5 linked regions of the Rattus norvegicus genome follow. The main gene of each other region encodes a partner of the protein of the gene in region 3 in a complex. Links are inferred from orthologs where the notes say so. Each region holds a gene or a part of one and is shown on either strand. Other genes may lie near its edges. The genes, in order: Adgrd1, S1pr2, Gna13, Gpr4 and Gpr35.

Region 1 (3,509 bases), on a different chromosome or scaffold from region 3:
TAAAATCGTTGTCAGGATCGGGGTGAGCAGGTGGGGTGGAGACCGTCACGAAAAGGTTCACGTTCGCACAACCCAGAGGCAGTCAGCTTGGGTCCGTGTCTGACTTCCTTCTGTCACTCACTGAGTGGTCTCGGTTCCCTCTTCTGTGACTTGGGAATGGGAGCGTTGCACTATTTGGAAGGAGGCGATGGCTCAGGTCGCACTCTCGGGACGGCACTTGTCCCTCACCGGATAGAGCTGTGTCATTTCGTGCCTCTGAAGCACTAACTGATAAATGCCTACTTCTCTCTTCAGGAGTGTCATTTTCATTCTTCTGGAAGACTCAAGGAGAACAGACCCGACCAGCCCCCTACGCTTATGGGGGGCAGGTCGTCTCTGACGGGTTCAAAGTCTGCTTTAGTGGTGGAAAGGGCTCTGTGGAGCTGTACACACGAGATAATTCCATGACGTGGAAGGCCACCTTCAACCCTCCGGGTGAGTGAAGCACCAAAAGGAGCTTCTGTCCCATTAGTGTGGCACAGGGCTCCTTCCTACCAGCAGCTCGAGAAGGTACCAGAAGGATACTGGTCACAAGGTGGCTTCACACCAAGGTCAAAGCCCTATGAGCTCACTGTGTGATTGCTGCTGCCCTAGTGGCTGTGTGAGGCTGGTTTTCTGCATGATGGAGGTGACATGGCAGGTGCCCAGTAATTGTCTGGGACTAAGGTGGAAGCTATGTGCAGAAGACAGACCATGATTTAAATCCCCCTGTCTAGCACCATTCGGTGATATGGCCTTGAAACTGCCCTCACGGTGCAAAATGTTCTGGGGAAGACAGGCTGCTAATCAGAGAGCAGGCAGTAAGGCAGGAGGAGAGGTGGTGGTAGTGTATGGTCTTATTAAGGACGTACCTTTAGAACCAGTCAGAGGGGACTGGGATGCCAAGGGCCTGAGTTTCAGCGTAAGAGAAGAAGCTCTGTGGTATGCTATTAGCTGAGTTGGAGACTGGGCATCTGAAACAAGGAGCAGGAAAGATAGTGTAAGATTTTAGAGGAGGAACGTGACTAGGTCCACAGAAGGATTTCATGTGGCATGCAGGAAGGGCCTGGATAGAAACTAGCCAGGATAGAGTCAGAGGTCTCCATGATAAGCCTTGAGAACAGCGGTTCTCAACTTACCGGTCGAGATTCCCACCGGGGTCACAGATCAGATATACTGCTTATCAGATATTTAAATTACAATTCATTACAACAGCAAGATTACAGTTATGAAGTAGGGGTGAAAATTATTTTATGGGGGGGGGTCATCGCAACACGAGGAACTGTATTATTTTTTTTAAATTTTTTTTCTTTTTTTTTCTTTTTTCCGGAGCTGGGGACCAAACCCAGGGCCTTTCGTTTGCTAGGCAAGCGCTCTACCACTGAGCTAAATCCCCAACCCCGAGGAACTGTATTATTAAAGGGGTGCGGCATTGGTTAAGGTTGAGAACAGTATCTTTGAAGCCGCCCAGCATCCTCTTCTGGCTCATTTGAAGGAGGTGACACAGCTTAATTGTAAAGATGTCAGGCCAGGTCCTAACTCTGTACTTTGTAGCTTTACTGGCCTGGTATCATATTCAAAAACTTTTCTTCCATTTCTTCATTTGTAACTGAGAAGAGTAACAGTTACTATTTCACTGGGAGACAGCCTGCTGATGGATCAAAGGAGTCTTGAACAATGGGTGGCAGAATCCGGGGAGACTTGGGTTTGCTCCGTGGGTGTCGGACTTGCTTCAGCTGAACTCGTAGTTCCTCCTCTGCAAGGTGGGGAAAAGCAGCAAGGGACGATATCAAATTTCTGGATTCTTTCCCACCTCCAAGGCTGGAAACACCTTTGCCTTCCCGCTTGTGGAGGCTCTGTCTGAGTCTCTGCGAAGGCTCTCAGTGAGGACCGCTTGCGGTCAAGGTTTCCTAGGTAACAGCTCATCCCCCCCCCCCCCCCCATGGGCCCTGGGCCTGTGGCAAGCATCAGGCATCTAGCAGGTTCTCTGAAACGGAACATGTGCTGTTTTCCAACCCAGGGATGCCGAGAGAGACTTGTAAACATCCTTTTCTCATCTGCTCCTCATTTGTTCACTGGAGGGCTTTGTTATTCTTGCTTGCAAAGTCAAGCACAATAACGTTTTGTTGGCCCTGCCCAGGGCCCAAGTGTTCCTCAGAGCGTCAAGATTACTGAAGTGTTACGCAATCCCCAGCAGGAAGCTCTGATGTAATCACTGGCAGTCCACAGTGACCCACGGGCAGGGGCGCTGTGTGTCCTTCAGAGGGGGGCTACTCTGTGTCACCTTTGTCAACCCCAGGAGCATGTCTTACACCCAGGCTTACAAAACAGATGTCTTTGTGGGCCAGTCTTCCTACTGATGAGAAGGAGGACCCAGAGGCTTCCAAGGAGGTGTCTGATGGAGCCAGGAGGCTGGCTATAGTCATTGTGTCACCTCATGTTGATTATATATGTTGTCATAGAGGCAATGTCCGGTCAGGCCTTTGAGGTTTTTAGATTCTCAATGTCCGTTGGAGTGAGCTATGACCAGAGGTTGTGATGTCATGTCAAAAGCCAGGTCTTCCAAGTTCCCATTGGAAACAAAAGAGAGTCGCCACCCCGGCTTCGCCTTTTAATGACAGGAGGGGGTAGGGGAGCTGCCTCCTAGTGGAGCGCCCGCCCTCCTATACAGCCTAGTCAGCATGGCGGCCCATCCTCAGTGAAACCAGGTTCCTACTCTGCCTCTTCTTCGGTTCTGTAGACCAGGTGCATGGCCACTAGTCTGGCACGATTATACTATAGCCTCCATGTTTTAAAGCATTAAAAACCCATAGTGAAACTGAGTCCACGGAACAGAGGGCTCCCAGGGGCCTCCCCAGCTCTGTGCATGACCAACCTCCCCACAGCAGCATCCCACCCCTGGACTATGCTTCAGGGATGTGCCGTGCTCATGTGGACGTATTTGGGGGGATGTCGGGGCCCATTCCTGGCATCATACATCTTGTCTGTTGGGGGAGTCTGTTTTGAGCTTGGACCTTTTACCTACCTTTAAGCGGGGTGTTCACTCGCTCACTGTGAGGTCTGAGAGCTCTTTGCCCATTTCGTGTAACAGCATCCACTGAAGATATTTCCCCAGCCATGGCTGGCCTTTTCCTCCTATGCTCAACTTCTTTCACAGAGCAGATGTTTCCAGTTTTAATGGAGACCAGTTTATCACGTTCTATCCCGGATCATGCTTTTTCTGATATACCTATACCTATACCTGTACCATACCTATACCATACCAATACCTATACCATACCAATACCTATACCATACCAATACCTATACCATACCAATACCTATACCATACCTATACCATACCAATACCTATATCATACCTATACCTATACCATACCAATACCTATACCATACCTATACCATATCATACCTATACCATACCATACCTATACCTATACCATACCTGTACCATACCATACCTATACCATATCATACCTATACCATACCATACC
Region 2 (4,238 bases), on a different chromosome or scaffold from region 3:
GTCCCACCTCCACACAGTGGTCCAGATTGCCTTTTAGAGGCAGGGGAAGTTGTCATAGAGACTAGGCTCTATTGGAAATGAGCCTGACTGGTTCATACCTATAAGCCCAGCAACACAGGGAGCTGAGGAAGATGGAGAGTTCAAAACCAGCCTAGGCTACATAATGAGTTGGAGGTTAGCTTGGGTAGCACAAGGAGACCCTGACTCAAGTAAAAGTTAAATGGGAAGGCTGGGAGATGTTGAGATGGCTCGACTTGTCACCAAGCTTGGAGACTTGATCCAGCCCCACTACCCCCACAGAGAAATGACTTGCAAAAGATTTTTTTCTGACTTGCACACCCATGCCATGAAACACACATGCCCACACATATATACATGCCCACAAAATAAATAAGTGTAAGTTTAAAATGTATTAAAAAAGCACTGTGTTGGGGTGCACACTTTTAATCTTCACACTTGAGAGACAGACATGCAAATCTCTGTGAATTTGAGGCCAGCCTGATCTACGTAGTGAGTTTCAGGGCATTAGAGTTACCTGGTGAGACCCAATGAGACCCAGTCCATAAATACATAAAATTAAGAGAATTTGGTGTGGCTTAGAGACACTGCATCATTTTGAAGCCCTGGGTTCCCAGGACTGCAGAAAAGATATGAGGAAGAGGAGCAAGTGAAAGGGTTTGGAGTGAAGGAAGAGAGATAGACCCAGACATGACTGCTTAGCTAAAGATTAGTGGAGAGGAAGGCTGAAGGAAGGCCTGGTGGCTCCCCTCCACTCCCTCCCAGTTCCAGAGCTCACTCATCCCTCCCAAGCAGCTGGGGAAGCTCAGCCCTGCAGGAGCCTCCCCCCACCCCTTTGGTTGCTGTGTGGGTGTAGCCCCTCCTACATGGCTGCTGCCCACCAAGCTTGCAGGGGAGAACTGACAGAACTCCGAAATTCATCCTCACCCCACCCGCCACACTCTCCTAGGGCTCCCTACGGCGCAAGTGTACACCACACTAACCTCCCAAGACCCATCTGAATCTGGATCTCAGGGCCTTCAGACCCGCTATAGTTGCCTCTGGTATATCCTACAGACCCCCCCACACACACATACACACACCGCCCACACACAAACACCTTTTCTGGCAGACTATCTTATCTTTGGATTTCATTTGACCGTCACTGTCTAGGCCTTCAGGAACTACCTTCTCGATTTGTTTTCGTTTTGGGGACAGTGCCTTACTGGGTATCCCAGGTTGACCAGAAACTCACAACTCATGTATAGCAAGCTGGCCTTGAATTCACAAAGATGCCCCCTTAACTCGGCCTCTTGAGCACTGGGATTAAAGAACCGAGAGTTTTGTCCAGCACAGCCCAGCCCCAATTTCTATCAGAGCATCTGGCTTTATCATCGGAAATTATCTTGTTTTCCACAGTACGGTGTGAGGCCAGCTACCAAGTTCACCCTCAGCCTCCCGTGCCATGATGAATGAATGAAAGAGCCCCAAATTGGAGGGCTAACATGCAAAGCATGAGGACATCAGTCCCCTGGCAGCACCCCTCCCCAACCACTACACGAAGCCAGGAGCGTCTCCATAGCGACGACAGTAAGACCCGCCCGGCTCAGGCAGCACTCTCCGGGCTCCTTATCAGGCCGAGGAATGCGTGGTATCCAGATTCGCTCGCGCTGGGGCGGCGCCATCTCTCTCCCGAGACCCCGACACGCGCGCAGAATGTCCCTATCCTGCACAAGGCAATAGGGGGAGGCGACACTCTGCATCCCACCAGAGAGCCCCCACATCTAGATTCCCGGGGCAAAGGAGAGAGTAGCTACCAGTAACTACATTCCCTCCCCCATCAGTGATGCACCCACGTTGCCCCACAGGGGACAGTAGGCTCAGCGGGTGTCGCCTCGGGTATCTAACAAGGATAGGGACGGGGGTGGGGGAGATGGAAATCCCCGGGTGAGTCAACCCGTGCTGTAGAAGGGGGCGAGGTTCCAAGCTGTGTAGCCCGCGACGACGCGGACTCCACGCCACGCGTGCCTTCCTTCACTCCTACGCCCCATCCCTGGGCTAGGACGAGAAGAGGAGATACCAGGACTTTGCAGTTCAAATCCCTTTACTTCGAAACAAAGTGATTCTCCCGAAAGGTAGACTGAAGGAGAGGGGCAACTAAGGGAAACTGAGGCAAAAAACAAAACAAAACAAAAACAAAAACAAAAAAACCCCCCAAAAACTAGTCTCACTGGCGGTAGAGCGATGGTCTAGGCCAGGGACCCCGCCCATGACCTCCGAGCATCCGCGGCTTCTATGTAGCACCTTTCATCCTAACTCAAGCCGGAGAAAGAAGGGATGCTGCACCTCTCCCTAACAACCTCACTGCCCCAAACTCTGCTTCCTCAGAACCCCCATCCAGTCTTGCAAAGTCGCCAGCCCAAAGAGGTCGGATTCCGCCTTTCTCTACAGCGCCAACTTCCTGCCCGAAGGAAGGCGGGGAGCTCAGTCTGGGGGTGCGCCACAGAGTTAGTGGGGAGCTGCCTGGAGTGGTGGGCAGGGGCGCATGGTGGATGATCGGTCCCTTCGGTGCAGCAGAACCTGGAGCAGCGCGTGCAACGCCTGTACGAGCGCCTGACCCCGGGCCAGGCCCCCAAGCTGGGATCCCTGGGTCTCAGTGGAGCGCGGCCCGCCCAGATCGGAACCTCCCCTTTGCCCCGCGCGCTCACCTGGCTAGGCCGGCCAGGGTCCCTGCCCTGGCCTGAGTGGCCTTGGCGTCTGCGCCCCGGGACAGCCAGTGGCTGACTTTGGTGACTGTTGGCTGTGCTCGGTCTATGTCCCGGAGTTGGGGACCCAGGACAAGAGAGAGGCGGGCAGAGCCGCCGCCTCCGGCCCCAACTCCCTGCTCGCCCCGCCTACTCTCCTCCTCTTTCCGGCTGCGACTTGCAATGAATTCCAGATGTGGCCCTCCAGTTAGCCAGAGCGTGCAAGGGGGAAGAGCATGGTCCCTTTGTCCGCACCAGCCCCCCCCCCATCCCGCCCTGCTCCTCCCAGCCCCCACTCGTGAGAACTGCCGTCGCATGATGTCACGGCCGCGTGACGTCACAGCTCTCTTAACCCAGGTGGCCTAGTCCTGAAACAACTGTATTTCCATTTGGCTTAGCTCCAGGCTGACACCTGGGACCTGAAAATGGAGGAAATCACGCTTACCTACTATGTGAGGACTCAGCAATTCAGGATTAAGCACCTACTTTGTGTTTCTACAAGAAATTACTTCCTACATTGTGCCATGTCCTGTCCTCAAAATAGAACTGTTCATTGACTTGGTAAGAACCCTCAAATCGAACTGGGTGTTTGTGGCACAAATGCCTGTCATCCCAGCATTTGCCACCTAGAAGGTCGGAAGATCAGGAGTTTAATGTACCTAGCAGCCGTAGCCAGTACTGCCTGCTCAAGACCCTTTCTGAAAAACAACAGGCGGGGCCGTGGATTCAGGCGGTTGAGTGTTTGCCTAGCGTGCATCCCCAACGCTGCAAAAATATGGAATGGTGGCTTGGACATCTAATTCCAGCCCTTGTGAAGTAGAAGCAGGAGGTATGTTTTAGAGTTCAAGGCCAGTCTTGATCACATGATCCTGTTGGCTCTGGCCCTCCAAACGAGTCAGAGTGAAAAAAATTCCAAAATTAGAGTAACAGAAGGCCAGCTGTCTGGCTCCACTAGGCAGGGAGGGGAAAGTGCTTGCTTGCCTGGAAGCGTGACGTGAGTTCAGCTCCTGGAAACAAAGTTGGCCTCCGACCTCCACAGGACACATTGGCATTGCTACACCTGCTTGCGCACACCGATACATACACAACAAATGCATTAAAAAACAAAGAGTAACAGGCTGCTGAGCCCTCAGTGGGTAAGGCCCTGCTGGGACCCACCTGGTGGAGAGCGAGAACCACCAATTCCTGCAAGTTGCCCTGTGGCCTCCAAGGACTGCTGCCCTGACGCCTGTGCACACCCGCATGCATGCGCACACTCAGAGATATGAAGTTAAAATTAGTAAATTGTTAAAAGGTGCCAAAGAAATGGCTCAAATGGTCAAGAGCACTTCCTGCTCTTGCGAGGACAGAACTTGCCAGCATCCTCAGACCTGACAACCTCTTATGAGTCCAGTCCCTGGGGGATCCAACACTTTCAGCCTCAAGGGCACTTGCACTCACGTGCACATACCCACAGTTGCACGTAATTAAAAGCAAAACAGAAAAATTAAACACACA
Region 3 (4,107 bases):
AACCAGACAGGCATCAAACCGCCTTTCCCCTTTGAAACTGACAAAGAATGAAGAAGTTGGCTTCTGAGGTCTTTGCTACACAGTCACTCAGATGTCACTTGTCACGTGTTCCCTGGGAGTCTTTTCAGGTGTTAGGCCTGATCTGCTGGTGTGACAGAAAAAAAAATTTTTCTTGTCTGTCATATCCTCTGAAGTCTGGCAGGAAACCTAAAATGTGCCTGCCGCAGTCCTAGGCTGAACGCTTATCTGCTTCCTTGGGAAGAATGAGCATCGCATCATAGTGTCCGGTTTAGGGGGATTTTCAACATGACCTCACCCTCTCCACCATTCACTGACCTCAGCAGGCATTACCCAAGTCACAAATGCAGCCCGGCTGGGAATCCACATTAGTGAGCCAGCCAGGGCAGGTTATCAATAGTGCCCTGAGCTGCTAGGAAGAGGTGTTGATCAATAAGGACATCCGACATCTACTTATCCTTCGGGATGGTTAGGATGGCAGGGGTAGGGTGAGGGCCGTGGGGGGGGGAGGCGGTGACCGCTGCTAATTAAGTGCACGAGCTTGAAATAAAGCCCTGGCCGGCCTGTAATACCAGAAGTAGACAGGGAGGCTGAGATAAGACAATTGTCACAGATTTAAGCCAGCTACAGCCGCAGGGAACTTGTCTCAAGAATTTAAAAAAAAAAAAAAAAAAAGGCAAAATGTAACGAATGCCCTGGTCCGTGCAGGGATGTCCCAGCCAATGGTCGCGTGAAGGTGACAGTAAGCGGCGGGCGAGGAACTATGGGAAAGAGCAGTGGAAACTGTAGAGATAAGGATGCCTTAACGGAAAGGGGTCTGGATGGGCTTTGCTTACTCGCCTCGGGGCTCCGGGAAACGGTGGCACTAAAGGGAAACAGAAACTCTGGATCCGCAGGCGCGCGCGCGCCCAGGTTGGCCCACGTGACCCCGGACTCCGCAGTTCTCCGCGCGCGCTCCTGGCCTCAGCCAGGCCAGCGAGCGCGTGACTCGCGCCGCCCCCCCCAGCCCCCGCTGCGTGCCTGCGTGCGCGCACCCGGCAGGCGGCGGGCGCGCGCACGCCCAGAGGGCCGCCGCCCCTCCCCGGGCCCGCCCTCCTTCCCTCCCACCCTCCCCCGGCCGGCGCGTCCCGCCCTGGCGAGTCAGTCCTCGGGTTCCCTCCCTCCCCGGGCGCGCTCGGGCCGCCGCTGCGCTCCCCGCCCTCCAGCCGCCTTGCCGGAGCCACCCGCTGCCGGAGGAGGAGGTGGAGGAGCCGCAGGGGCCCGCCGAGGCGGCGGCGGCGGCAAGATGGCGGACTTCCTGCCGTCGCGCTCCGTGCTGTCCGTGTGCTTCCCGGGCTGCGTGCTGACGAACGGCGAGGCCGAGCAGCAGCGCAAGTCCAAGGAGATCGACAAATGCCTGTCGCGGGAGAAGACCTACGTGAAGCGGCTGGTGAAGATCCTGCTGCTGGGCGCGGGCGAGAGCGGCAAGTCCACCTTCCTGAAGCAGATGCGGATCATCCACGGCCAGGACTTCGACCAGCGCGCGCGCGAGGAGTTCCGCCCCACCATCTACAGCAACGTGATCAAAGGTGCGGGGCGCGGCGGGGCTTGGGGACCCCAGGGGAGCCGGGCTGGGCACCGCCCTCACCCGCCGGTCCCAAGTCTGAGGAGACCGAACCAGACCAGATCGGACGGGCAATCCTGTGGGCGCGCCTCGGTCACCGTCCTGTGCGCTGCGGTGCCCGAGTCCCTTCGATCCGGGACGCCCTGCTGTCCCCCCGCCCCCTCCCCGTGCTACCCCAGTGAGGGTCACGGTCGGCCCCGCACTCCGCGGCTGGCCTCGCCCCCTCCGAGAGGGAAGTGCGGCGAGCAGAGTGACTCGGGGCAGCGGGGCAACTTGTGTCCTCCCTGAACTCCAGGCACGACCACCCATCAGTAGCTTTAGGTTCTATTCTTCTTCCCTTATTTGCCCGTCCAGAGTGGGTGACTCTAGTAACCCGGTCTGTCACCCTTACAGCTCTGGGCGTCCTAGGCCACCTCTTGACTTAAGCAAGTTCTGGAACGGTCGTAATGAGGAAACTTTTTTTTGCCCTGAGACTCTTGTCAAGGGCATAGAGTGACAGCCTCTAGAGCCTTTTGAGGTAAGAGTATGAAACTCGCGTTTACTGAACTGGCATCAGGAAAGTCTATTAAAAAAAATAGCGCCAGTGGTTTTATCGGCTCATTGCTACAGGATGTTTGTAATTACAGCCCAACATGTTGCACACTTTTTTTTCTTTTTGCTTAATAACTTGAGGCAGGAGAAAAACGGCATCGTTACCAATGCTTAAACGAATTCATGTTTAAATATAAAGACCCTTTGGCATAAAAGTCTTAGAAGACCATCCAAGACAAGTTAGTGAGAGGCGGGGAATATGCATTGAGTTGGATGATGGGCTTTACAAATCCTGTTGAACAGTGTTTTAAAGACTGTTCCTAAGTGAAAACCACACAAAGTATTCCTTAGTGTTCAGATAAGTCGCGGAGGTGGCTTTTTATTTTGTCATTTAAAAGAATCGCCCTTTTTTCCCCTTTAGTGTCAAATATTTTCTGTGTAAGAGAAGTTGGCAGGATTGGGGCACAGCAGCCGATTTCTGAGGGGTCGAGGAGTCACCCTATTAAATCTTGGGCTCAGAAGCAAACTGTAAGATTGTAGGTCTTTTCAGGGAGTTGTTTCAAAGCCAGTTTTTTGTTGTTGTTCAAGAAGTGCATAAGCAAACTCCCTCATGGGTCCCTTCCTCCCCCCATCAGTGTTTCAAGTAGGGAAGAACTAAAGAGGATTCGCTGCTGGGCAGTGAGAGGAGAGGGCAGGGCGAGGCCAAGAGCAGACCATGGCTTGCTCTTACTTAAGACCTTGTACCTTTGCTGTTAAGTGAAAAGGATGGTTGTGGGTAGTCTGCCTTAATGCTCAGCACAAAACTAATTAAAGTCTCCTCTAAGGCTGTAAACTGCACCTTGCCAGCCCTTAATTGAAGGTACCTTTGTATCCTGATACAGTTGAACTTAAAAGAATTATGTTAATGAACAGACTTGTGAGTGAGGGAAATCACCTGCTTTTCCTTATACACTGGGCCTAAGAGCTACTTTGAGCATTATTGTGTGATCAAGTCTAAGTCTAACTAGGCATCTTATTTTCTTCAATCGCCGTGGTCAGAAAAGTGAAAGCTTAATTTTTTTTCTTCGAGTATCCTAAGAAATGACTTCCCGGTGACAGAAGTAGCAGTGTAGCCACAGGGTCGTGGAGTTCGGGCTAACCTGTGTAAGTGCAGTCTCGGATTATTTTGCAGTTGGTTTTCCTTTTGGGTAACTCTACAGCCAGTGTGTGACTGCACTGATTAGAAGCTTGGACTGAGGAAGCTTTGAGGTTCAGTGTGTCCTAGAAGATAGTGTGGGCAGGGAGCTGAAGGACTACGACTGCACACCGTAAACCGTTCTTAGCGTGTGCCAGGCTGACTTTAGCCTGGCTTCAGGCTAGACAACATTATTTATTTTTTCCGTCTCTGGTTTTGACTGCCCTCCTCCAGAAATGGTTTTTATGAATCGCAGCATATTAAAATCCTTCCCAAAGTGTTCTTGTTATTAATATTTTCAAGGCTTCTGGTTTTGAGAAACAATGAACACTTACTTGTTTCTTAACTCTGAGAACATAAAGGTTTTGTTTTGATTTTGGTCTCCATTTTGGAAGTGGGGCTTCTGTGATAGCTAAAAATTAAGGAACCAATACTGACCAACCCTGGGGCCAAAGCCTCTGGTGGTATCTTCATGACTCTTCCTCACAGTTTTTTTTTTTTTTTCTTTTTAAACAAAGGTATGAGGGTGCTGGTAGATGCCCGAGAGAAGCTTCATATTCCCTGGGGAGATAACAAAAACCAGGTCCACGGAGACAAGTTGATGGCATTTGATACCCGAGCTCCCATGGCTGCCCAGGGGATGGTGGAGACTCGAGTTTTTTTGCAGTATCTTCCTGCTATAAGAGCCTTATGGGATGACAGTGGCATACAGAATGCCTACGATCGGCGCCGGGAATTCCAACTGGTAAGACATTCGCTTGTCTAAAATGTGTTTTTATTT
Region 4 (3,266 bases), on a different chromosome or scaffold from region 3:
GATTCCAGTCAGGGGCTCTACCAGTGAGCCACGCCCCCAGCCCCTCACTGGGGGATTCTAGGCAGGGGCTCTACCAGTGAGCCACGCCCCCAACCTCTCACTGGGGGATTCTAGGTAGGGCTCTACCACTGAGCCATGCCCCAGCTCCTCCCTGGGGATTTTAGATAAACACTGCTAGGTTACTTCCCCAGGCTTTGCTGTGTTTAACACTTTGAGACAGGGTCTCACTTTGTAGTCCAAGTGGGTCTTGAACTTCCAAATTCTTCCTCAGCTTCCCAAGTAGCTGGAGTCACAAACTTGTAGCATCTGATCAGACTCTTCTGTCTAGAAACCAAACAGTTGACTTGATTATCCCCTCATCCCAAACTCTCCATGGCTGACTCGCCATCTGGGAGTCCATGATGACAAACTCCCAGCTGTGTCACTCCCCTTCAGGCCCTGCTGGAATAAAGTGAATCATTGGGCATCATAGTGGAAGAAGATGGCTGAGAGAGACACACCAACCTCATTTTTCTCTTGTATTCGTATGAATATCCACATGGCCATATTTACATACATTTGCATACAATGGGGAGGGTGCAGGATGACAGTTGGGCATGGGGCTCACTGTGCCGGGGGCAGCAGCACCTTCAGTGGCACCTGGTCCCCCTGGGCAGTGGGAGGCACTGCCCAGACAGCCCCAGACGTTTTGCCGGTGGTGCTCCTCTTGGAGGTCAATGGTGTCTCCAGGGTGAGGGAAGCATTGGCCATCTCCTGGGGCTTGTTGCTGGCCAGGAAGCGGAGGAGGTTGTGCAGGGCTTTGGCCACGTCACTACGGGCACCCTCGTTGACCAGGCAGTAGAGGATGGGGTCAGCCACGCAATTGAGGCTGGTGAAGGCTAGGGAGCTGTGGTAGGCAGAGAAGACTCGCTCCTCGAAGCCACAGTCCCAGGGCCGGCCCAGATAGACAGCGCTGCGAGACAGCAAGAGAGCATGGTAGGGTGCAAAGCACACCAGCACGATGGCGATGAGGCTCAGGGCCAGGCGTTTGATCTTGACTTTCTCCTGGCGCTCGGTGGACACACTGCTCTGTACGGCCCGCAGGATGCCGCGGTAGCACAGCAACATGAGTGCCCAGGGGAAGAGGAACCCCACAAAGACGCGGTACAGGTTCATCCAGGCCACCCAGCGCTCCATGGGGAACTTCTCGAAGCAGAAGGTGTGGTTGTAGCGATCACGAAAGAGCTCGTCATGAAAGAGCGGTGCCGAGTTGGCGCCTAGCTCGGTGGCCCAGACCACGGAGCTCACAGCTACTGCTGTCTTGACCCGGCGCAGGCGCGCAAAGCGCAGCGGATGGGCCACAGCCAGGTAGCGGTCCACGGAGATGCAGCACAGGAAGGCGATGCTGATGTAGATGTTGCTGTAGAAGATGAAGCCAAAGAGCTTGCAGGAGCCGGGGCCGTGGATCCAGTTGTCATGGTGGAGGAAGTAGTCGACCCACAGCGGCAGCGTACAGATGTACAGCAGGTCTGCGATGCTCAAGTTCATCAGGTAGACGCCCAGCTCATTGCGCTGGCGCACCTGGCGGTAGGCTGCCCACAGGGCCAGGCAGTTGGTGGGCAGCCCCACCCCGATGACGAAGATGTAGAGGGATGGTGGGAAGAGGTGGTCCACTCGAGAGTCCACATGGCAGCCCTCCCACGTGCCCGTGCTGTTGTCCATCCTGGGCGATGGGACTTCCCAGGCGCTTCCCCTGGCCCACTGGGGCTACAGGGCCACGGGGGGCGGGAGGCCATCAGGCCCCCTGAGCCCCCTCTTTGGAGGCTCAGGGAAGCATCACAGGAGACAGTTCACAAGGAGTGAGATCCGAGTTGCTTTGTGGTAGGCTAAGCAAAAGGAGAACTTGAGAGGAAGAACGTCAAGGAGTGATGGAGATAGGATAAGAGGTGGGACTAATGTCAGTGGGGGTTTCTGCACAACAACCAGAGCGCAAAGATGGGGGCACCAGAAAAATAGGTGAAGGCAGTGTTTACGGGGGAGATGAAGACACCAGAGGTGTCATGCTTATTGTCAATAGGGACATGATGAAGTACCAGTGGGATTGAATGTTCTAGAACACTAAGGGAAGACACAGGGGAGCTTTGAGAGAAGTTACAGAGTTGGCAGGATGCAACTTAGAATGCTGGCATCTGCTAGGACCGCAGCAGGAAACAGAGAACTATGTAAAGTCACCAATGGGGGAAGGAAAGTGAGGTCTCCTCTGGGGATGGGCAAAGAGGAAGGGCTTGTAAGGGCTGGTGACTGTAGGAAGGGATGCTAGGAAACAGGAAGGTGAGTAAGTGGCGGAGCACAAGAGGATTGTGGGTAGGAGGGGGACTCCGAAGGGGGTTCCAGGAGACTCAGTTGATCCTGGTGGAGACTGAGGAGTGGAGATGAGGTTGTCCCACTCACGACTGTACTGATAGCTGAGGTCACTAGGCCTGAGGGGAGAGAAAACATTAGAGAAACTGGCATGGATGTCCATACTGGCCTCCCCAGGACCTTCCCGTTATTCCTGTGGAAGACAAAAGGAACACCCCAACAAAGCCTGAGTATCACCCTGAGGCAGAGATGTCTAAGAGCATAGGATTTAGGGTGCTGGGCAATAGAGGGACTTTCCAAATACAAATTAAAGACCCAAAATGTCGGCATGTGTCTTTGAACCAGAAGGTGGAGGATGGACAGTTAGGAGTTCAAAGTCATCCTCCACTACATACTGGGTTTGAAGCTATGAAAACGTGTTTTTAAGTAAGCAGTGGATGGTGAGGAGTGTGGAGATGGCTCAATGGGGAAAGGAGCTTTACAACTAGAGTTCGATTCCAGGAACTCACACGGTGGAAGAAAGGAACCAATTCTATAGGTTGTCCTCTGACTCCCGCTTATACAGAAAGGCAAGCGGAAGCAAGCGCGCATGCATATGCTCTTTAACAGAGAGCAGATACAGCTTTGACAAGGAGCACCACTCAGATCTGTCCAAGGTCCTGATGCCCAAGGTGGGAAGTCTCTGCCCTCAGCCCCCTTTCCCAGACAGCCCTTCGTTTCCCAGAGTCCCACTGGCGTAAAAGGACCTCGGGGTTGACAGTGGGGCAGAGCAGGAGTTGTTAGACTCTGAAAAGGTCATGGTTAGGGACACGAGTTGCAGCCAGCAGGGGGCGCAGCCCTCACAGGCGTCCCTCTCCTTTACCCGCTGTCCAGTAAGGACCCGGAACCTTTATTCTGCGAAGATCTACATGTTTATAGTAGACAAC
Region 5 (4,294 bases), on a different chromosome or scaffold from region 3:
CGGCCCCACCTCAAAGGATAACAAGGTGCCCAAAATGGTGACACCGTTGGGCTCCACTTGAACTGAAGTCTCTCCCCATCTCAGGATCTCAAGCTTTCCAGCTCCTCAATGAAATCCCACCTGGAAGTCACCACCCCCCACCCCCACCCCAACCCACCCCACCCTCACCCCACACCCCACCCCATCCCCAACCCCCTCACCCCACACCCCTCCCCACACTCATTCCCCACCTCCACCCCCACCCCCACATTCAACCTGGTATCTTTTTCAGGAAGCGGCCATGAGACACCCTGGACACACCCTTACTCCATCCACCTTCTCCCACCTTGGACCCAGCAGCCCTTCTTCAGGGCCCAGCATCCATGATCCCTCTAATCTCAGCTTTCTACTTTCTCTCCGGCTCTCCATGGGGACTGCTGGACATTTCCCATGCCACGATTTCCTCCTGGGTGTTTTTGACCACCTGTTGCTGTCCTCCTCTTTGAGCTTGTGCCTTTGTCTCCTCTACAAGGTGAGCCTGACAAGGTACAGTTAAGTACCAGGCCAGGGCTCTCACCTCCAACCCCAGAACCTGGGGAAAACCACTGTCCTGGTCCATGGCTCTGTAGGCCTTGTCCAGCAGCTGTATGCCAAGGCCCAGACTTTTGTCTAGGAGCTAATTCTTACAAAACTCTCATCTGAGCAATAGGCAAGCAGTGTCTCATGGATGTCACAGGATCTGGGACTCTCCTGAAAGTCCCTGGTAGAGTAAGGCTACAGGGAGTGGGGTCTTCATTACGCAGACTTGACAGAGGTGGCTCTGTGGGGATGAGTGACTGGGACACTGTTATCTCTGCCCACCCCAACTTTTCTGCGTATTTGAAAATTTCCATATGTTTGCAAAAATAAAGAAATGACCCCACATCTAACTTGGAGATGTCTGTGGAGAGCAAAGTCCATCAGTTCTTTAGACAGACAAATCAGTCAGGCAGTTGAGGGAGATGGTGCCACACGGCTAGTAACTTTGTTGTAGGGTCCCTTCACTCTGAAACTTGTCTCATATAGCCCCTTGATGTCTGCACCCCAACTCTCTTGGCCTTCTTGAATAAATAAGGCCCCTCAGGCTCCTCCAACTTTCTGTTATGACAGCAAGAACTTCTACCCTGAAAGTGATTTGTGTTGTGAGTCACTGGGGAGACCTAAAGTGTGAGGAGACCTAAAGGATCGATTAGGCAGCCATTTTCTGTATCCTCTCTTAAACAAAAAATTGTCCTACGGCCTCTGAGATTTATCTATGCAATCACGCAGGGCTACGACAGAGCCGGTAGTCTGAAGACAAAGGTGTGAGCGTGGAACTAAGAGAGCAGGCCTGGCTAGGCCTAGATTCGCTCCCCACTCAGGTGCCTGTCATGCCCCCACAAACCAGCTTGTATTTTCTACTCAGACTGATTTAAAATGATCATTTCAACAAAAATGTGGCAAAGGCAAAAAGAAGAAGTCAACTTAGTTTCAGGAAAAGCACTGAGGTTAAGCTCTTTGTAGTTGGTCATATCTGAGATCCGGGAAGCCTACGGCCTCTGGTGAAGTCACTGACTCTCTGACTATGCCCAGGCTTCCTGGAAATGAAGGCTTATCCTTCCACTCAGAGGTACTCACTCTCCCTTGGACAGCTCCAACTTTGCTGCTTCTTGGCTGCCTGTGCTAGGAGCTGCTAAAAGCTCCTTCCGGGCTCTGTTCCCAGAAGCTGAACCTCTCTGTCCACCTGTAACTAGTTAAGCGTATTCCCGGCATAATTACTGCAGCCCTGTTTGGTGCGAATGACCTTGCCCTCATCATCTCTCGTCTTCCCGGCCTCTCTTCTGTCTCAGACAGCACAGAGATCTGATGCCCAGGTTCATTCCTTCAGTGGGCAACTCTGGCCTCTGCCTATGCTAGCTCTATGGTCCTCTGCCGGTGAAATTTCCATAGGTCATAGTTGAGAGCTCTGATGGGAAGAAGCTACAATAGGATGCTCAAGAGACTTGGTGAAAACCCAAAGAATCCTCAAATATTGAATAGGACCCTGAGAGAGCCCTGAAGGAAAACTAAAGGAGTTATTGAGGGAGATTTACAAGAGCTTTGAGGGGAATGACATGAAAGACTTCTGGGGACATCTGAAAGAGTCCTGAAGAGATTCTGAGGGAATCTGAGGAGAGCCTGAAGTAATCCTGAGGGTTCTAGGGGAGCCTGAGGAGACCTTGAGGGGACACCGATAAGGTCTGAGGGATCCTGAAGCAGTTCTAAGAGGGGTCTATGGACTTCCTGAGAGGGCCCAGAGAAGAGCTGTCAGAGTTCTAAGTCCTAAAGAGCTCTGTATTGCGAGGTGGTGCTGAGTGGTGGCAGTAACGGCCACTGTCCTTCCTGCCCCACTCATCCCTCTTCTGTAGGAGGCCAGCACCCACCTCCAGCAGCCAATGTGTCCTGAGAGACATACGGGTATAATCCTTCCTTCTAGGAAACTTGTGTCCACAGATGGTTTAGGTCAACAGACACCCCAAAGACTACAGAAGAATCATTATCCTCTGAGAGAATCTGCCTTGCCCAGAGATCACAGCAGGAGGATCCTGCAGACTGAGGGAAGGGGGAAGCTCACTGACATCCAGTCTCACACCCTGGTGGTTCACTCACCTCAGGCAATGCTCTTCTACTCCAGGCTGGCCTTCCCCAAGTGCTGCTCAGTTTTAGTGCTGCCAGACACCTCTGTGGAACCCCCTCTGACGCAGTGGAATGGGACCGTGGTTGCTGCCCACATGACAGTTTCTGCCTCATTAGAGCCTCTTTGCCCTTTATTGCCCTCAAATTGCCTCCCTCACTCTTGGCCCTCCTTCCCCTTTCTTGACTAGAAGGCTGGCTTCTGGCCTCATGCCAGGCCCACTACTGGAAGATGCTGTCTCCCTTCATAGCCCTCTAGTCACCAACTGTCTTTCCCAGCCTCAAGATGATTTCAAGAACGCTATACCTTTCTAGCAGAGTCTTCTCCACACAATCCACCTCTAATCTGAGGGCCCCTCTAGCTACCCACCCTCCTAATACGGAGCCTTGACAGGCTTCTTGAAAAAAAAAAAAAAAAAAGCTCACAGGTCCTGACCTATGCCAGAGACCTCAGACTAAAGAAATCTTCTGGGACAAAAATGTCAGCTCATGCCAGCCAGTAGTGGAACATGCCTTTAATCCCAGCACTTGGGAGACAGAGGCAGGATCTCTGTGAGATCGAGGCCAGCCTGATCTACAGAGCTAGTTCTAGGACAACCAGGACTATACAGAGAAACACTTTCTCAAAAAAAAAAAAAAAAGCCAGCTCACGAGAGTTGTGTGAAGTGAATATCTTACTCTATCTCTCCCCTCAGACACCAGCCTTCTGCTTGCATAAGGTAGCATGTCTTGGGAGGGCCGGGAGTTGGCTTAATTGGTGCCTTAGACACACGAAGGCAGCCTTCTTGAGAAACACGGGACTGAGGGTTCTCACAGCTACTCCAGGGCCACCAGCCCTCTGAGCCACTTCCTCCAAGGTTGAGCAAGATGTGGCTGATGATAGACACACATGTGCGTGAACTGTTAGAGATATGAAAAAGTTATCCAGCCTGATCAAGGGAAGACAGGCACAAATGCAGCTCTCTACAGCACTGTGACCCCTCTCCATCAAACGGGTACATGTCCAAAAGTCGTGTTGATCTGAGTGACTTCCTCTGGCATGACTCATTGATCCCTAAGATGTTAGATGTCAGGCAAAACGAGAACTGTGATAATTATCTGACCCGATAACCTCATATCTAGGAATCTACCCCAGACAGTGAGAAAATGATGAGCGAATGCTTCAGGGTCAGCAATGCAGTGCAGACCTACAGAGTGGTCATAGCCTCACACTTGAGTCTGCAAGGCTGGCAGCATGGAGCACTGCAGAGCTGTAAGAGGCAAGAGGGTATTCTGTGTCTAAAATCTATTTTTAAGTTGGGCGGTGGTGGTGCACACACACCTTTAATTTCAGCACTTAGGAGCCAGAGGCAGGAGGATCTCTGAGTTCAAAACCAACCTGGTCAACACAGTTCCAGGACAGCCAGGGCTACGCAGAGAAACCCTGTCTTGAAAAACAAAACGAAACAAAACAACAACAACAACCAAGTCTTTCTAAGTGTGTGCGTGTGCGTGCATGTGTGTGTGTGTGTGTGTGTGTGTGTGTGTGTGAGATGGTGGGGTTGAGGGAGTATACTAGAACATTATGGCCCTCTTTTTGCCTTTTATTTTTATACAGGATCTTACTAACTTTCCCAGGCTGGTT

Evidence for each region.
Region 1: the proteins of Gna13 (region 3) and Adgrd1 are in contact, whole or in part, in a cryo-EM structure (PDB 9V0U), measured with the Homo sapiens proteins. The link is inferred for Rattus norvegicus from reciprocal best matches to the Homo sapiens genes GNA13 and ADGRD1. Residues at the interface, in NP_006563.2 of Homo sapiens: Val49, Val216, Phe218, Phe359, Val362, Lys363, Asp364, Ile366, Leu367, His368, Asn370, Leu371, Gln373, Leu374, Met375; in NP_942122.2 of Homo sapiens: Asn599, Arg601, Leu657, Met660, Val661, Ile662, Val664, Phe665, Ser667, Val737, Ile738, Ile741, Ala761, Val764, Asn810.
Region 2: the proteins of Gna13 (region 3) and S1pr2 are in contact, whole or in part, in a cryo-EM structure (PDB 7T6B), measured with the Homo sapiens proteins. The link is inferred for Rattus norvegicus from reciprocal best matches to the Homo sapiens genes GNA13 and S1PR2. Residues at the interface, in NP_006563.2 of Homo sapiens: Arg47, Val216, Phe359, Lys363, Asp364, Ile366, Leu367, His368, Asp369, Asn370, Leu371, Gln373, Leu374, Met375, Leu376, Gln377; in NP_004221.3 of Homo sapiens: Ser66, Met68, Tyr69, Leu72, Arg130, Ala133, Ile134, Lys136, Val137, Lys138, Leu139, Tyr140, Tyr209, Ile212, Val216, Ser219, Gln227, Thr228, Leu231, Leu232, Val235, Tyr288.
Region 4: the proteins of Gna13 (region 3) and Gpr4 are in contact, whole or in part, in a cryo-EM structure (PDB 9JHP), measured with the Homo sapiens proteins. The link is inferred for Rattus norvegicus from reciprocal best matches to the Homo sapiens genes GNA13 and GPR4. Residues at the interface, in NP_006563.2 of Homo sapiens: Arg47, Pro341, Tyr343, Phe359, Lys363, Asp364, Ile366, Leu367, His368, Asn370, Leu371, Lys372, Gln373, Leu374, Met375, Leu376, Gln377; in NP_005273.1 of Homo sapiens: Gln45, Asn50, Arg115, Ala118, Val119, Ala120, Pro122, Leu123, Ala126, Ile204, Val208, Ser211, Val212, Ser213, Thr214, Glu218, Lys221, Ile222, Leu225, Asn290, Glu291, Gly292, Ala293.
Region 5: the proteins of Gna13 (region 3) and Gpr35 are in contact, whole or in part, in a cryo-EM structure (PDB 8H8J), measured with the Homo sapiens proteins. The link is inferred for Rattus norvegicus from reciprocal best matches to the Homo sapiens genes GNA13 and GPR35. Residues at the interface, in NP_006563.2 of Homo sapiens: Lys46, Arg47, Leu48, Val49, Lys214, Asn215, Val216, Phe218, Arg331, Gln337, Gln338, Lys340, Pro341, Leu342, Tyr343, Phe359, Arg360, Asp361, Lys363, Asp364, Ile366, Leu367, His368, Asn370, Leu371, Lys372, Gln373, Leu374, Met375, Leu376; in NP_005292.2 of Homo sapiens: Phe45, Gln51, Thr53, Thr55, Met59, Asp113, Arg114, Ala117, Val118, Pro121, Leu122, Arg123, Arg125, Arg128, Ala197, Leu198, Arg201, Pro202, Thr204, Asp205, Gly207, Gln208, Ala211, Ala215, Met218, Val219, Ala280, Lys281, Glu282.

What each region holds. Positions count from the first base shown.
Region 1 is NC_086030.1:33,212,272-33,215,780, reverse strand, and holds part of Adgrd1 (adhesion G-protein coupled receptor D1), read left to right. Parts: intron 1-294; coding exon 295-474; intron 475-3,509. UniProt on the Homo sapiens protein: Adhesion G-protein coupled receptor (aGPCR) for androgen hormone 5alpha-dihydrotestosterone (5alpha-DHT), also named 17beta-hydroxy-5alpha-androstan-3-one, the most potent hormone among androgens. Also activated by methenolone drug.
Region 2 is NC_086026.1:27,787,539-27,791,776, forward strand, and holds the start of S1pr2 (sphingosine 1-phosphate receptor 2), read right to left. Parts: upstream 2,807-4,238; 5' UTR 2,706-2,806; intron 1-2,705. UniProt on the Homo sapiens protein: Receptor for the lysosphingolipid sphingosine 1-phosphate (S1P). S1P is a bioactive lysophospholipid that elicits diverse physiological effects on most types of cells and tissues.
Region 3 is NC_086028.1:94,836,153-94,840,259, forward strand, and holds the start of Gna13 (guanine nucleotide-binding protein subunit alpha-13), read left to right. Parts: upstream 1-1,303; coding exon 1,304-1,586; intron 1,587-3,844; coding exon 3,845-4,071; exon of another isoform or gene 4,072-4,107. UniProt on the Homo sapiens protein: Guanine nucleotide-binding proteins (G proteins) are involved as modulators or transducers in various transmembrane signaling systems.
Region 4 is NC_086019.1:88,001,807-88,005,072, reverse strand, and holds Gpr4 (G-protein coupled receptor 4), read right to left. Parts: upstream 1,995-3,266; 5' UTR 1,702-1,994; coding exon 604-1,701; 3' UTR 506-603; downstream 1-505. UniProt on the Homo sapiens protein: Proton-sensing G-protein coupled receptor activated by extracellular pH, which is required to monitor pH changes and generate adaptive reactions. Activated by an optimal pH of 6.8-7.2.
Region 5 is NC_086027.1:100,973,093-100,977,386, reverse strand, and holds the start of Gpr35 (G-protein coupled receptor 35), read right to left. Parts: upstream 2,808-4,294; 5' UTR 2,647-2,807; intron 1-2,646. UniProt on the Homo sapiens protein: G-protein coupled receptor that binds to several ligands including the tryptophan metabolite kynurenic acid (KYNA), lysophosphatidic acid (LPA) or 5-hydroxyindoleacetic acid (5-HIAA) with high affinity, leading to rapid and transient activation of numerous intracellular signaling pathways.